Linked DNA regions of Rattus norvegicus. The protein of the gene in region 1 purifies or fractionates together with the protein of each later gene. This does not show direct contact. Links are inferred from orthologs where the notes say so. Each region holds a gene or a part of one and is shown in the gene's direction. Other genes may lie near its edges.

Evidence for each region. Proteins that work in one complex are often made in the same cells at the same time.
Region 2: the proteins of Kpnb1 (region 1) and Rangap1 purify together in Homo sapiens (affinity purification with mass spectrometry; 3 studies listed by BioGRID and IntAct, with this or other methods). This does not show direct contact. The link is inferred for Rattus norvegicus from reciprocal best matches to the Homo sapiens genes KPNB1 and RANGAP1.
Region 3: the proteins of Kpnb1 (region 1) and Dlgap5 purify together in Homo sapiens (affinity purification with mass spectrometry; 4 studies listed by BioGRID and IntAct, with this or other methods). This does not show direct contact. The link is inferred for Rattus norvegicus from reciprocal best matches to the Homo sapiens genes KPNB1 and DLGAP5.
Region 4: the proteins of Kpnb1 (region 1) and Nusap1 purify together in Homo sapiens (affinity purification with mass spectrometry; 3 studies listed by BioGRID and IntAct, counting the BioPlex papers as one, with this or other methods). This does not show direct contact. The link is inferred for Rattus norvegicus from reciprocal best matches to the Homo sapiens genes KPNB1 and NUSAP1.

The regions. Positions count from the first base shown.
Region 1 is NC_086028.1:82,668,057-82,672,186, reverse strand, and holds the start of Kpnb1 (importin subunit beta-1), read left to right. Parts: upstream 1-1,330; 5' UTR 1,331-1,429; coding exon 1,430-1,469; intron 1,470-1,565; coding exon 1,566-1,624; intron 1,625-3,790; coding exon 3,791-3,973; intron 3,974-4,130.
Region 2 is NC_086025.1:115,127,765-115,131,814, reverse strand, and holds the start of Rangap1 (ran GTPase-activating protein 1), read left to right. Parts: upstream 1-1,250; 5' UTR 1,251-1,430; intron 1,431-1,499; exon of another isoform or gene 1,500-1,926; intron 1,927-4,050. UniProt on the Homo sapiens protein: GTPase activator for RAN. Converts cytoplasmic GTP-bound RAN to GDP-bound RAN, which is essential for RAN-mediated nuclear import and export. Mediates dissociation of cargo from nuclear export complexes containing XPO1, RAN and RANBP2 after nuclear export.
Region 3 is NC_086033.1:23,141,377-23,145,569, reverse strand, and holds the start of Dlgap5 (disks large-associated protein 5), read left to right. Parts: upstream 1-1,393; 5' UTR 1,394-1,441; intron 1,442-3,458; 5' UTR 3,459-3,459; coding exon 3,460-3,694; intron 3,695-4,193. UniProt on the Homo sapiens protein: Potential cell cycle regulator that may play a role in carcinogenesis of cancer cells. Mitotic phosphoprotein regulated by the ubiquitin-proteasome pathway.
Region 4 is NC_086021.1:127,055,801-127,060,094, forward strand, and holds the start of Nusap1 (nucleolar and spindle-associated protein 1), read left to right. Parts: upstream 1-1,494; 5' UTR 1,495-1,568; coding exon 1,569-1,661; intron 1,662-4,294. Other genes in the region: Oip5 (protein Mis18-beta), read right to left, coding at 638-704, 939-1,236. UniProt on the Homo sapiens protein: Microtubule-associated protein with the capacity to bundle and stabilize microtubules. May associate with chromosomes and promote the organization of mitotic spindle microtubules around them.

The DNA.
Region 1 (4,130 bases):
AAATGAGGGGAAGGGAATGTCAAACAACTATATGCACCAGGTTTTTATTTTGTCTTTTTAATTGAAAACAGTATCTCAAACTGTAGTTCAGGATTCGGGATACTGAGATGGCAGGTGTGTCGCCACACCTCGTCAACGCGCATGTTCTTTATATAATCTATACACATCTTGTAAGTTACGTCGGAACACCAAAGGTTTCTGGTTAACTGTTAAGTGGTCTAAGGACGCGGCTCCGCGAAACTTTGCTAACAGCACAGGGCCCTGCTAGGGGCTCCACGGGCAATTAGGCTCGCCTAAATCCAGCTCTGACCCAGTCTGTAATCCGCTGTGTGACCTTGGACACGCTCCATGCTCTCTCTGGGCTTCAGTTTCCAAATCCGCAGGTTGGAAAGTGAACCACGTGGTCCTCACGGTCCGGCTCAGCACAGTGGCGGGGAGCAAGGGACCTCGCCATTACAGCAGCTTCCTGTGGGCGCGGCGCAGGGCTTTAACGGTCCCCTCCCCGCCCCCTCTGAGGCCCGCGAAATCCTCATTTCTCCTACACCACAGCGAGTGACCGCTCTCCGTAAAGCGCAGTCCCAGCCACTCGCGCGCAGCTCCGCCCCACCCCGGAGGCGTCCCGTCGTGCTCTGCGCTAGACTCTTAAGAGCCCCGGGGCCTCCCGCCTTTACGCGCGGCGACCCCGAACTCCTCAGTTTTCCCGGCGCCCCGTCCTATCAACGTCCAGTATCCCAGCCAATCCGGCGCGCTAGGAGCCTTACCTTCCGCCCACCCTCCTCCCCGCGCACAGCCGGCCTGAGCCCGAAGGCCTTTACCCAGGCCAACCCAATCAGCGGCGCGCTCCTACCTACCCCACCCCAGGACCCCTCCCCTCGGCCAATAAGCACTCCCTATTCTGCTGCCCGCCCAGCCAACCGGGCCTTGAAGCACGTAGGCCAATGGGCGCGCGGCGGCTCTTCAACGCTAGGCTCCTGGCCAATCGGAGACTCCGCGTGGCTCCAGCAGTAGCCAATCGCTGTGCAGCGCGGTGCCGCCGCGGAGAGGTCCGGCAGGAATATCCCTCCGCCTCCCTCCCTCAATCTCTCTCCCTCCCTGCGATCCGCCTCTCACTTACAGCCGCCCTTCCTTTCTCCCTCCGCCGCCTGAGCACCAGCCGCGCTCTGAGCTGCCCCCGGGGTCCCTCCCCCGCCACCAGAGGAGCAGCTGCTGCCGCCTAGCACATTAGGAGGGCGGAAGGAAGGAGAGCAGGGAGGAAGGGGAGCCGGAGCGCCTGCCCAGAGGCGGCCGGTGAATGGGCTTGTGGTGACCCCCACCCCCCACCCCACCCTCCCTTCCCACCCGACCCCCAACCCCCATCCCCAGTTGGAGCCGCCGCCCGAGAGGCCGGGCCGTCGTCTTGGGAGGAGTCCCCGCCGCCGTCACCTCCGCCATGGAGCTCATAACCATCCTCGAGAAGACCGTGTCTCCGGGTAGGACTCGGGGCCGGGGGTCGGGCTGAGGTGACTGGGGTGGGGGAGGGGGTGGCCCCTCTGACCCCGCTGCCTCTCCCCCATTTCTCCTGGCAGATCGGCTGGAGCTGGAAGCGGCGCAGAAGTTCCTTGAGCGTGCGGCTGTGGAGAATCTGGTGCGTGCTTCCCCGCCGCGCCCCATCCCGCCGCGTCCCCATCCCTGCGTGCGGGCCTTCCCGCCCTCCTGGAGGCCCAGGCCTGAGGAACCCACCCCGCCCCATCTCGTCCCCCTTCCCCCCCGCCCGGCCCAACCTAACCCCGCCATCGGGAAGCCGGTGGGTGTGTCCCGCCCCGGGCCCTGCGTCTAGCCAATGGCGAGACGCGCCGGGGTGATCGCTGTCCAATCGTCACGCGACCTGAGGGCGGCGGTGCAGCGGGAGGGAGAAAGAGGGAGGGAAGGGAAGTTAGGTTGCATGGCGCTGCGTGTTCAGCAAGGGTGGGGGTTGGGGAGCCGGGCCTAGGGGCCATGTGGAAGCTCTGCGCCCTGCCGCCTGTCTTGTACTGGCTGCGGCCGGCTTCTCCTTCCTGTCCCATGGCTCTGTTGCTGTCTGCAACTACTTCCTAGAGCCCTATCCTTTCCTAGCTCCCTTGGTCTGTGCTCATGGCCACGCCTGGCACCCGACCACCTCTGAACCCATTGCCTCAGTTTTTTCCCTTTCTTGCCCTATTATCCCATTCCTGGCCTCAGTGTGCACGTGTGTTCTGTGTGAACTTGGATTATTCAGAGACCTCATCTATAGGGATCTCAGATTGAGTCTTATTTCTGAGATTGAGCCTATTCCCTGATGAAATCAGTGGATGAAATATAAAACCCTGATTTTATAATTTTGGATTTAAGAAGTACATTTTAAAAAAAGACTGACCTTTGTATAGGAAAATATACGATTATTGAAGCAATCTATTGCCAGAATGTTTCTCCCTTCCTTTGGGGGGAAGGGGAAGTGGGGGAGGGGAAAGGAGGGAAGGGTGGGTGGTATTAAAAGTCTCTTTAAGGTAGTAAGTTTTAAAAAGTCAAAAGGACATTGTAACCAAATGTAGTCCTTTGTGATGCTTGGCAAAATAGTAACATGCATAAAGCCACAAATCCTATTTTATTATGTACGGACCACTTTTCTTTTTGAAAGAGTAGTAAGTGACTTTGTATTGACGTTTTTATGTTTAACTCACAACCTTTCAAGCAGTTCTTTGTTGGTGTGGACTGAGAATTCTGCTCATAGTATATTCTTGGTTTTGCTTTGCTAGTGTGCTAGAAGCCCTTTTTCCTGCACCTAACACTCAGTGTCACAGAGTAAAACTTGGAGAATTATCTTCTGAGCTTGTAGAGTTTGCTTGCATTGAGAATTATCTCCTGTGTTTGGTTTGCTAACACTAAAAAAATGTGTCTACTTTGGGCCTTTATAACTTTCCTGATTGGGCAGATTTCCCCACCCAACTGCCCCACCCTTTGTGCGTGTTCCTCTGTATGTATGCTCTGGAAGAGGAAGAAATGTGTTACAAGTTTTAGATGAGTGGCTTTTGGACCTGTATTTCAAAACATAGGTTTTGGGAGGATTCATTGTTAGTTGACAGTAGGTCCAAAACAGGATAGGCTCCTGGTATGTCCTGCTACTAAACAAAAACGACTTTTCTCGACAACTCATGTGTCATTCACATTGTCGTGTTCTTTCAATTTCTGAATACTAGTTAACACTTTGACTTACAAATCCCTTTTGGTGAACATTCAGAGCTAAAACCCAGAGGACTAGATCTTATATCTGTGTTATACTTTCATGTATGTGCGTATGTGTTAGAAAAGGTGACTTATATGAGATCAGAGGGCTGTCCTGATTATTATTTTTGGGCAAGACCTTTTTCTAAAGTATACTTTTAAGTATTCTTTTCATTCAGCAGTTTTGCAGCATTGGGCTTTCTTGTACCTGCTTGAAGAAACTTGTCACTAGGATAACACATTACCAGGTGTCAATTTGGCTTTAATTCTGCGGAGCTATTTATAAGACTTGGGCTCAAAACATGTTCTTGATAGGAAGAATCTGTCTCTTCACATAGCAGGTGAGGTTTTATAGGACTTGTCCTTGAAGTGGCTTATGTTGCCTAGTCAGGCCTTAACTTTTTTTTGTTGAACCGGAGGAAACCTTTTCAGTGTTGAGTTTATGCAGGTACCAATTCAAAAAGAGATTTTCCAGTTTTCCGAGATACTTTGATCTAAATTTTGTGTTTCTTCTCTAGGGCTTTGCAAGCAAGTGGAAATTGCTGATAGACTTATAAATGTGTCTTCTCCACAGCCCACGTTCCTTGTGGAACTGTCCAGAGTGCTGGCAAATCCCGGAAACAGTCAGGTTGCCAGAGTTGCAGCTGGTCTACAAATTAAGAACTCTTTGACATCGAAGGATCCAGATATCAAGGCACAGTACCAGCAGAGGTGGCTTGCTATTGATGCTAATGCTCGGCGGGAAGTCAAGAACTATGTAAGTGACTGTCAAATCCTTGATATCATATGGTTTAAGGGAAGACGCTGGTCATTTGCATGTGATAGCCTTCTGAGACCCAAACGTTACCTGGGTGTAAGAATGTATTTTCACTAACGTCTCTGTGGCTGTAGGTGTCTGGTGCAGTGGGTTGGGC
Region 2 (4,050 bases), on another chromosome or scaffold:
CATTCAGCAATCAGATAGACAATGATTCCATATAGAATTTTTTTCCCACACACCGAGCATTCACTGATTTTTGCCACATACAATGGTTGGGTGTATGCCAAGGACTTTAGAAATATATTCCAGGAAGAGGGTAAAACAACTGCTCTTGTTACTTTAGTTCACACTATCACACATAACCCACGGTACAATAAAAAAAAAAAAACCTCAATATTGATACTAACATTTACTATACAGACACATTTTGCTAATTATTTTAATATTGTCCTTTATAGGAAATCTCTGTTGTCCAGTGAAAGATGAAACACAGGCCTAAAACACATCTTTTTCCTATTTATTTGTTTATTTTTCAGTGCTGGGGATGGACCCAATGCATACACTTGTCACTGAGCTATGCCCCAGAGCAGCCATATTCCATCATCTTTAATCAGTAACATTCTTCAACTTGCATGGCACACAAGATTTTGGAGCAATAGAGACCAATTATCTGGAAGATGATCTTGGGTTCGTCTCTCTCTCTCTCTCTCTCTCTCTCTCTCTCTCTCTCTCTCTCTCTCTCTCTCTCTCTCATTTGATTAATTTTATCCATTTGAAGAACGGACTGCCAGCCATACTGCGTCCTCGGTGCACCTCGGCTATGGTGGTTGTGTTTGTTCTGTTATTGATGTTAATGTGAATCAGCTAAGGCGATGCCTGAAGGTTGTCTCTACTAAGAAATAACTTTCTGCATTTTTTTTTAATTATCGAGGAATCTTTGAAATTTCCTTTTAATTTCAGAGTAATTAGATTTTTTTTTTTTTTAAGTCGTTTCTTTTAGCAAGGAGATCCCTATTACTACTGATAAGCTCCAGGGACATGCCTTTCATTGTATCGCCTTTGTCAATAAAGTTGCATGAATGAGAGCGCTAACCTCTACGGAAGGGTGCGGCTGCCTCTCGGCATGGTCTGCCGGGATTTGTAGTCAGCGGATGCACCGGTCAAATACCATCCAACAGAGTCCCGTAGAGAAAGAGCCAGAAGCCGAGAGGGCGGGTGGAGAGGAGGGTTGCGAACTCCGAGCACTGTGCATCATGGGAATTGTAGTTCATCTTGTGCGTCCAGCCATGGCTGCGCGGGAGGACAGGACTTCCCTTCCCAGTAGACCCCGCAAGCGAGCCCGGCAAAACGCCGCTCCGGCTTGAACAAATCAAATCGAAGGAAAGAAACTGCCGGCTTTCAAAAATCCTCCTCCGCCGCCATAATCGCTGGGGATCGTGGAGCAGGTGGTGTGCACAAGCTAGACGAGCAGCCGCGGCAGCGAGGACAGGCGAGCAGACTGGTCACTGGAACCGCCGTATAGAGGCGCGGTGACCGGCCTGGCCCTCGCGCGGGCTCTCAAGCAGTGACCGACGCGTGCGTTCCGTCCCCCCACGCGGCGGCGCCGCTAGTTTGAGGTGAGTCGGGGCCCTCACGCTCTTCCTGTCACTTGCTTGGCTACCAGGGTCCGGGTGGGGCGAAACGATCGCCTCATGACTACCCCCTTTTGATCTCGCTGAGCCCGGCGTTGGGGGATGGGGCGCTGGGCGGCGCTACCCCTTGTACGTTTGGAGAAACTGAGGCCTAGAGTGGACGGTAGCCACAGCTGTCTCTCCGCGGTGGCGCCTCACGTTGGCACCCATCTCACCTGTAGGCGGTGAGAAGCCGCCTGCCGTGCCGGGTGGCGCCACCCAGTCCATCGCTGCCTACCCAGTCGGCCCACGTCCGCGCGGGAAGCCTGGCATGAGTCACTGCTGACGCTTTGCTGGGTCGATGGATGGCTGTGCACCTGAGGACGTCTCCCACGCGGCCGCCCAGGAGGAGAGGGCGTTTGTGTATTGACCGTTTGTGTCTGATCCCTCGCAAGCTGTCTGCTGACCTTGGATAGCTCAATACCATTTCTCTTTTGCTTTGGTTAGTCATTCTTTAAAGTGAATGGGGGAGGGCTTGTGTGTGTCTGTGTGTCTGGTTCCAAGACCTGAAATTGTGCCTCCCTTCTACATGGAGCCCGACCACCGCCACCCCGTTTTAAATCTCATTGTCTCATCGTAGAACTGTAAGAGGTGGCTGAATTCTAGATAGATTTTCACTCATCTTCGTGTTTGTTGGGTTTCTGGCCGGTGACAGCTGGCTGAAGTGCCTATTTAACCTACCAAAGCTGACCTGGCCTTCAGATTCTCCCAGCATCCCTTAGTCCCTACTTGAAGTTTCCAGCCCAGGGCTTGGGCTGCCTCTTACCCCCTGAAGCTCTTCACTGTATAATCCAGACATTTTGGTCCTCTCCCACTCTCCTCCTCCATCCCTCTGTCTTCACTTCTAACTTCTTGCATATGAGAGCTCATTTTTCCTTTGTCTTCCCCACCTCTCTGTCTCCCTGTCTGCAAGACAACTTCCCTTCCTTGGAACAGGTGAACCCACCAGAGAGCTGCCCCCAATAAACCTGCCTTTATACTTTAATTTGGCTTGAACTGGCTTAGTTGGTCCTAGGAGAATACCTGTCAGTGTTGTCATTTTTTGAGCCCTCAAATATCAGGCCTCTTACTGGGACCCTGTTCCTGTCAAAAGCAGCTTGGTGCACTTTTAGCTGCTAAAAACCTTCCAGGGACCCTCCTGGTCACTCATCCTATACAGTAATTAGGATGTCTTTTGTGACTTGAGTCTTTTCTCCTCTGCTCTAACCGTAGCCCCACTGGCCTTGCAATTCCTCCTCTATCCCATGAGCCTTTGCATATTGTATTCCTTTTGTAGGAATGCTCGTCCCTCAATTTCTGCTTGGCTCAGTCTGTCATATCTTTAGTTTCTTTACAGGTAACACCTTTAATCATCATTCTACTGTAAACAGCTCCCCCTCCCCCCCAAAAAAAGAAACCCATCAAAAACGAAAACCACCTTCTTTGCCCCTTTCCTGGTTGCTTTGTGTGGGGATTTTTTTTTTTTTCTTTGTATTTTTCAGACAGGGTCTTGTGTAGCCCAGGCTGGCCTTAGCGCCTTTAGTAGTTGGAAATGGCGTTGAACTCCTGATCCTCCTGCCTCCCCAAGTACTAGGTCATAGGTGTGCCACAGCACCTGGCCTTTTTTATTATTTTATTTCTTGTGGTGTAAGAGCTTGAAACCAGCCCCTCACAAACCCTAGGCAAGAGTTCTACTGCTGAACTGCCCCTCCCTTGCTTCCACGGGCTTTTTCATTAACATGTAAAATATTTTGGTTTTTGGAATATAAATAAACTTCAAGGAATATGTGCCTTACTGTAGTTCTGGTATTCCAGACAGTGTCCACTACATGGTGCTCGATACAGTGTTTTGCTGAATGCTTTGATATTTTATCCTGAGTTGTAATGTATGCTTATTGGTTAATAAATCAGGGTGTTTGGGGGTAAAATAAGGAAAGTGATGGGCAGCTGGCCAAGCCCAGAGGAAGCCTCGGATAGGCAGGAAGTCCTGAGGCCCAGGGGCATTTGGAGGAATCTGGCTCTGACCTTTGTTCAGCTGAATCACTGTCTGCTTGTGGTCTGGCATTCAGAATGTGCTCAAAGAATGACTTGACAGGTCCGGTGTCTTAGTTGGTGTTCTGGTTGTTGTGAAGAGACACCATGACCAAGCCTATCCTTTTTTGGGTTTTCAAGGAAGGGTTTCTCTGTGTAACAGCTGTTGGTTGCCCTGGAACTTGCTCTGTAGACTATGGTGACCTTGAGATAGATATACATGAAGTATAAAATGTCTTATTGAACAGGTTTAATCCACTATCATCACATTGGGTAGCATTGTGGCATGCATGACACTGGAGCAGTAGCTGGGAGCTATAACCCATTCTAAAGACAGATAGAAGTCAAGTCTACGAGCCTATGGGGGCTGTTCTAATTCAACACCACTCCCTGGTCACCTGCCACATTCTCTTTGGGAACATGGAATTATCATTCTCTCCTCTCTGTGGTAGTGCTGGGGCTTGAACCTGTAGCCCCCTATGCCTGATAGGTCCCTCACTTGGCTGTATGCCAGCTCTACTTTCTCATTCTGCCAATGTTACGCTCCCGGCTGTGG
Region 3 (4,193 bases), on another chromosome or scaffold:
CTTAAGTCCCTTACACCTTACAAGTACAGGTCTGTTTCCTGCACATCATGTTTTTCAACTTTTGCTGAACTCCCGACCCCATGATGTGCGCCCACCCCTCTGCCTGGCTAAATTCCTGAACACCTGTGGTGACTCCGCCTCTTCAGGTTGTGTTCCTGCGTTTATCTACCCTACTGGCAGCCTTGAACCCCAGTCGCCCACTCTCCTGTCCAGGTGCTACAGGTGCTAACAGCCAATTATCTCCACAGCTGTTTTCCAGCAACCCTAACCCTTTCCCATAAAAGGCACCTCAAACGCCAGTGAGGGGCTGCTCTCTGGAATCTGGACTTGGGTAGGTGCACCTGGCTGGCCAGTTCTAGATACAGCTTGCTTCAATCAGTTAGTCGTGAAATCCGTGCTTTCCCCCCCTCTGATCTAACATAACCATAAATATTATGTCAGTGATCTATTTTCATCTTTCTCTTTGCATGTCCTAGAGGTCTCGTCGCTGCTAGAGTTGCAGGCACATGGTACTCTGTCCCAAGAGGTTGGCAGGGAAAAGCAAAAGCCAAACTTAAAAATGTTTTCCTAATTTATCTTCCCAGCGTCTACCTGATACCCATTAATCTACAAACACAAGCTCAGCATAGCTGTACTGACCCAGGCTTTTTTATTTTCTTGGTATCTCATGGGATAAGTGCCTTGGTCTATGGGTGCGTTGTTGTTTCTCCATTGATTTTTTTTTTTTTCCCCCGGAGCTGAGGACCCAGGGCCTTGCAGCTTGCTAGGCAAGCACTCTACCACTGAGCTAAATCCCCAACCCCTCTCGATTGATTTCTAACGCAGCTGTTAATTTTGCTGTCAGAGGGAAGCAGAAAAGGAATAAATTATCTCATTTAACCTTACTTAAAACCTTTTTTTTTTCTTTTTTTGAGCATGCTTGCTCACGCCTTTAATCCCAGCACTCTGAGACAGGCAGGAGGATCTATGTGAGTTCGAGGCCAGCCTGGTTTACATAGTGAGTTCCCAGACAGGCAGAACGATATAGTGAGACCGTGTCTAAAAAAAAAATAATAATAAAATAAAAAAAAAAAAGTTTAAGAGGAAAGAAGAAAAAACGGCCAGGAGGCCGGGAAAGAGGAGTTCTCTGTCCCTCAGGCCCGCCCCACCGCGCTTGGTGCCTCGCCTCCCCGCCCAGCCGGTTTACCGCCTCACTCCTCGGCCTCCCCCTCCCAACCCTTTGCCTTCCAAACAATTTAAATGTCGCACGGAACCAACCTATCGCAAGCTTCGTTCGAGGGGAAGGGGCGGGAGCTTCCGGAAGTGTTGGCTGAGGTCCCTCCAATCAGCGGCTGGCAGCGGGAAGTTTCAGTTCGGCGGAGGGTCGGTTCGGGGGTTCCTTCTGCGGATCTGTGGAGTTTTCTGTGTAGCCGCATTGTTGTGGATCCAGAAACTGCTTCAGGTAAGTGGGATCAAGAGTTCAAGGTCCTCCGTGGCTACCTGCCAGCTCGAGAGTGGCCTGGGTTACATGAGACTCTGTCTCCAAAAAATTTAAAGATGGCTTAGAAGAGATGGCTCAACAGTTAGGAGCACTTGTTTTTGCACAGTTAGCTTTCCCAGCATCCCACATTAGGCAGCTCACAAACTCCTTGTAGCTCTAGCGTCAAGAGGTGTGACACCTTCCTCTGGACGCCAGTATGCATTTACCCACACACAGAGATAAACATAAACACACATAAACGACAAAAAAAGCCTTTGGGAAAAGAATTGGCATGAAAAACGTAGTAGATTTAATAAAGTATTAGAGACGAGAATCTACCCGACCTGGATGCTAGAACCTCTCAAAAGAGCCCAGAAGTGGCAGTGGATTCTGCTTTTCCTGGCTGTCATTTCTCTTTAACTTCCTGAGAGTATTAAACTGATAATCTTAGAGAAAGGCAAAAGCTTGAAGTGTTTTAAAATACCGGGGAGTAAGGTGAGAGCGCAGACAGGGAACTGACGTGAGAGGTACATTTGACCATCACCATGACACAAGTTAAGAGTCATCAGAGCCTCAGTTGAGGAAATACCTCCATGAGGTCCAGCTGTAAGGGATCGTCTCAAATAGTGGTTAATGAGGGAGGGCCCAGTACATTGTGGATGGGAGCCATCCCTGGGCTGGAGGTCCAGTACCAAGCGCTCTTCTATGGCCTCTGCATCAGCTCCTTCCTCCAAGTTCCGGCCCTGCTTGAGTCCTGACTTCCTCTGATGATGGACAGCAACATACAAGTGTGAGCTGAGTAAACCCTTTCCTCCCCAACTTGCTTTTTGCTCCTGGTGTTTCCTTGCAACAATCGACACCCTATCTAAGACAACCGTATTACCAAGTTCTTCTTAAACTCTTTTTCTGGTAGTTGTGTTTGTCGTTGTTTTGTTTTGGTGGGGAGAGGATTAAAACGAGGTTTTAACGGAGCTCTCGCCATCCTCCTCTGGAGCTGAGACTGACTGGGAGCACGCCCTCTTGTTTTGGTTTTCCCGTTATGGTCTCCCTGTGTTTAATTTAACAGGCTAGCTTTAGCCAAGGGCTAGAATCACAGACGTGTTTTCCTCACAGTGGGGTGATGCTGGAATGAAGGATATAGGTGGGTTTCTTACTGCGTAGACCAATCTGGCTTTGACTCCATTGAGCTTTCTGTGTCAGCTTCCCAGCTGCGCGCTCGCGCGCGCGCTCTCTCTCTCTCTCTCTCTCTCTCTCTCTCTCTCTCTCTCTCTCATGTGTGTGTGGGGGGGAGGGGGGCCAAGGGCAGACATTCATTCTCCTTATCCCTCTCTTCATCTTCCATATTTTCTTGAGACAGAGGTTTTCACTAAAGCTGGAGCTCCTTGGTTGAGTTAGGCTTGCTGGCAGAACCACCCCAGGGAATTTCCTGTGTCTGCCTGGCATTACTGCAGTGCTGTGGCCAGCCCTTACATGAGTATTAGAGCAGGTACTTAATGACTGAGCCAGCTCCCCAGACCATTGTGGCTTTTGAAGTTGAAATGCCAAGGTTCTTTTATACCACCAGGGGGAGCTAAGGGTTTGTTCTGCAATGTAGCTGTTTTCACTTACATGTGCCTCTTGTGTATATTGTATAGTTTTTCTCTGCTTCATTTTAATCTGTTGAGCAGCTCCCTACTCATGACCCGCCAAATAGGCCACGGTATCTCATCTGTGATAACTTTTCTTCTTTCATATGTACTCATATTAGTTCCGGTGTCCATTGTAATGGTTTCATTTCAAGGAAACGCAGAAGTGGGATAGGAGACGGACTGGTCTTGATTTTATTAGTTTACTTATTTTGCTCTTTGAGAGAGTATCTTACTCTTTAGCCCAGGCTGACCTCGAGTTCACACGATTTGCTCGCTGGGGTTTGTTGGTGGTATAGTAATGAGCTGCCGAAACCTGATAATGATAAAATGAAATTCCACTTAAGTTGGTGTTTGTCCCTCCTTTGTGGCAGGATGCCGGTGTCACGGTTTGCTGGTCGGCTTCGGAAAGATTCGAGCATCGAGATGATTAGGACTAGCTTGGCTCACAGGAAGTCGCTGTCTCAGAAGGAAAACAGGCACCGGGTGTATGAGCGAAACAGACACTTTGGTTTGAGGGACGTCAACGTCCCACTGGAAGGTAGAGACCTTGTTAATATACATGAGATGTCTCAAGACCTCACTCTAGAAAATGCCAGCTCCAAAACAAGTAAGTTAAGAATCTTTTCTAAGTTTAAGTACCTTTGAGAGGAAAGGGTCTGGAGAGACGGCTCAGCGGTGAAGAGCCCTGACCGCTCTTCCAGAGGTCCTGAGTTCAAATCCCAGCAACCACATGGTGGCTCACAACCATCTGTAATGGGATCCGATGTCCTCCTCTGGTGTGTCTGAAGACAGTGACAGTGTACTCATATAAATAAAAAATCATGGGGTTGGGGATTTAGCTCAGTGGTAGAGCGCTTGCCTAGGAAGCGCAAGGCCCTGGGTTCGGTCCCCAGCTCCGAAAAAAAGGACCAAAAAAAAAAAAAATCATTAAAAAAATATTTCACCAGTCACCTAGAGAAAAGAGATCATTCTTACAATTTGCCCAAAGTGGTTTGGGCCATAAAGAAAGGAACTGAATAAATGAAAAAGAATAGTCTCAGAAAAAGATGAAAACAATGAAAATAGTATCCTAGACGGCCAGGAGTTAGAGGGGCGGAGCTGAGGAA
Region 4 (4,294 bases), on another chromosome or scaffold:
TATGAATTCAAAGTATTCTCAATTCAACAATGTCCACATCCTAATGGTCCATTACAGCTGGTAGTGGTTACAGTACTGGACACATGTGACCATCTACATCAATTCTGAGTACTTCTGCCTCTTGCTCCAAACAACTTCAATAGAAACAGGCCACTCCTTCCTGGTCCCCTTTGAGAGAAGGAATTCCTATAAGGATAGGAATGTGTCTTTAGTTTGGCAAAGTTGAATGGAGGTATGGCTACAACTTAGCTTGGCCTCACTCTAAGCCCGAGTTCACTGAGTACTTTATTGCTATAGGAAAAACATTAACAAACAAAGATGCAGAGTTTTCTATAGATTACTACAGAATTAGTCTTGTCGTGATTTATATTATGTTTATATATTTACATTATAAGCTCCAAGTTAAATAGTCCTAGTTATCTCACAGACCTTAAGACCTACCCCCAACTTTAACTTTCATTAAAGCCAGGTTAATATGACTGAAACGGGTAAAGAGTTTATCTTTCAAACATACTGTATGGAGAGAGTAAACATGCCACAACACAAAGTTTCTTTCTTGTTTACAACAGTTACGTACTCTTGACCATCATTAAATCCGGAACAATACAGATCCACCTCAGGAATTCTCCACACGTACCTGGATTTGAGAGAACCTTCTATGCCAACCAAAAGGGGCTCTAACAAAACGACGTTGTTTGTGACTCCTGGAAGACAAACCGGTTTTGAAAAAGAAATACCTCCCACCAGATTCATCGGGCCATAAAAGTTAACCAAGTGGGGGCTGTGCCAAAGGCGCTGGCTTAGCTCAGGCTAGGTTCTGTGTTTGAAGCCCAACTCTGGAAAACAAAACCAGGCCTCACTCCCCGCTCGGGTACTAAGCCACATCCCCCATCTGGCTCTGGTCTGCCTTCCTCAGATGCAACCCTCGCCTCACTCACTGGAAAAGGCCAGGGCGCCGAGGAACTTCGATAGGTCCCAGGCGAGGTGCACAGTGTCGCCGAGCACCGCGTAGCAACTCGCGCAATGAAACACCGCACATCTCTCCGGCTTCAACCACGCAGGCAGCCGCAGGTCGACAGGTGACGCCTTCACCTCAGACCCGGAAGACCCGAGAGGGGAGAACCCTTCCACCACCTGAGTGTCCCACTCCATGGAGGAAGAAAAAGGTGTATCACAAGAGCCACTACAGGACTGGGTCTCGACGACAGGGAGACCGCGCGGCGAAAGAGTCGCCATTTTTCGAAACCCGCGCCTGTTTCACGCACGTCCCAGGTCCCGCCCAACTGTTTTGCTGTGCCTTCATTGGACAATATTCCTGTAAGACACGCCCACAATACCCAGTGTCTGCCTATTAGGTTTGCGGAGTAGCTGTCTTCAGCCAGTCACGCTACTGGCCCTCATAGGAAACCCCACCCTCGAGGCAGTTCAACCAATGGGCGTACAGCATTCGTCATTTAAACTGAGTATAAAAGTCTGCTTGTCAACGTCTTGGGTGGCGCCAGTTTTGAACGGTGCTGTTTTGAGTCGTGTGGCTGTTTTTCTGGGTATCACCGTGATTGCAGAACGTGATGACCGTCCCCTCTGCAGAGGAGCTGGACTCCTTCAAGTACAGCGACCTGCAAAATTTAGCCAAAAGACTGGGCCTCCGGGCTAACCTGAGGGTACGGTGCTGACTGGCGGGGCGGGCGGTTGCGGGCGGCTTAGAAGAGGCTCGGGGTTTGGGGAACAGGGCACGAAGTGACTGAGAGGGAGTCCCCGAGGAACGCTGTTTTGGGCGAGTAGGCAGGTTTTGTTCACAGTGACTGGAATTTGTTAAATGAAAGAAAAGCCATGTCTGTTACTTTATTTGGAGGCTTTTCTCAAGAACTCATAAAGGCCTCTTAATGGAAATCCTGGTACCAGATGGGAAACGAAGGCTCATAGGATGTGATCAATGTAATTTTAATTTCTATTCCAGTTATTAGGCAGTTAAAGAAAAACTACTTCAAACTACTACTTACTGTTCAGTAAACCGTGCCAGTACCTTCACTCTCATGAGCTTATAATATGCTTGTCCACCAAGATCTACTATGATCATCGATACAGTAATCACTATTGTGATGGTGGTCTTTTTCAAAACCGAAAAGGTCTTTGAATCCCGAGTTTGCAAGGTACTCAGAGAAAATGTGGTGATTCATTGTGAAATTAGGCTTGCTATATTGGAGCTGAGATTTCCCACATGTATATGCCAGAGATTTGTACAGCAAACTGATATTTTCACTAAATGTCTAATCAGTTGTCACAAGTGTTTTTAAATACTTTAAACAGAATAATGAGGCCATAGATAATACGTTTTATCTGGCTGAATGGCAGTGAAGAGCACTTGGAAGTGTTTCTGAGTTTAGTACTTAATGGCTCCCCAACTTAGTGAATAAAGCTTAGTCTTTCAGGTTTTTACTATCTGGATAGATTCTCCTCCTCCTCCTCCCTTCCCTTCTTCCTTCTCCTCCTCCTCCTTTTTTTTTTTTTCTTTTCTTTTTTTTCGGAGCTGGGGACCGAACCCAGGGCCTTGCGTTTGCAAGCTAGGCAAGCGCTCTACCACTGAGCTAAATCCCCAACCCCCTCCTCCTCCTTTTTATGAAACAAAGTCTCATTGTACTGCCCAGGCTATCCTGGAAAATAGTGTATAGTTTAGAGTAGCCTGAAACTCCCCTTCCTCCTCTGGCCTGACTAATTGTTTATCAACTACACCTGTTGCCTCTAAGCTCATTTGCATCTGAGGTGATCACCACCATCATACCTGAGCAGCCTATCCTACCTCAATTTCGTAGTTTGGGTTTTGCTTCACAGACCCTGACGTGTTCTTTATTTCTAGCTTACTTGGTTTATAAACTCTTTTTCCCACTAGTCCCCTGAGAGCTTCCAGCAGAAGACTTGTCTGCTTTGCTCACCAGTCTTTAGCTCCTAGAACAGTGCCCTGCACAATGTAAGAACAGTTTGTTTATTCAGTCGATGAATTAATGCTAATGAATAACACTTGTACTTCTAGTCAACTTGAGCTTCTCCCCATTTTATTTGACCTGCTAAATGTCTTCATTTGCTTGTACCTCAGAGCCTCACTTCTCAGTACTGCATCCTCGGTGAGATGGTATGTTAAGAAACCATATCCTAGTCAGGCAGTGAGGTGGCTCATTGGACAAAGGTGTTTTATAGCCAAGCCTGGTATTTTGACCCACATACATAGTGGAAGAAGAGAATTAACTGTGCAAAATTGTCCTCTAAACTCCACACCTGCAGGGTGGCACACTCATGCACAGTTGCATGCGTGTGTGCGTGCATGCAGACACACACACACACACACACACACACACACATAAGTAAATAAGAATTTGCATCTAGCTGGGCATGGTGGCACAGGCCTTTAATCCTAGCACTAGGGAAAGAAGGCAGACACAGGTGGATCTCTGTGATTTTGAAGCCAATCTGGTCTACATAGTGAGTTCTAGAACCACCAGGGTCACAAAGTGAGATAGGATTTGGGTTAGGTCCATTGTAGTAAATGAGAGCCATTTTATTAACAAAGTGAGATACAGTTTTGAAACAAGCAAACAAAAGAAAGGAAAAGAAAAGAAGTCGTTTGTAATTTTGGTAAGCCTTACCTATAATCCCAGCATTGGAGAGGCAGAGACAGGAGGATCGTGAATTGAAGGCCCTATGTCAAACAAACAAGATGGCATATGGTTCAGCTTGTCAACCCTGAACTAAACCCTAGATTAGGTAGATCTCTGAGTGTGAGGCCAGCCTGGTCCACATAGTGAGTCATAGACCAGTCAATTCTATATGGTGAAACCCTGTCTTTAAAAGAGAGATCCAGATGACCTATTTGAGAGGGAACTTTGGGTTAGGTCCATTGTAGTAAATGAGAGCCATTTTGTTAACAGTTGTCTCCATGCAGAGGAGTCCAGTACAGTTGAAGCTGTGGCTTGGGCCCACCCTGTACTTAAAGTACAGAGCAGATTTCACACTGGCCATTCATTCACTTCTGGTAAATGATAAATTGTATGAGAAGGAGAGGCAAGCTCTGAGGCTGAGCCTGTAGGCTTTTTCTCTCCCTCAGTGATGCAGATACAGGCCAGATTAGACCAGATTAAAAGTAGACAAAGGCAGATTTATTAGGAGGCAGATTTCAGGTGGTCTCGCTGATCTCACAGTGGAGGAGTCAGTGAGGAACTGGGATTGTATCCATGCATGGTCAAAAACTGGCTGGGGACCAGGTGGTTGCTGGAGACTAGGAGTGTTACCCCAAAATCGTCTC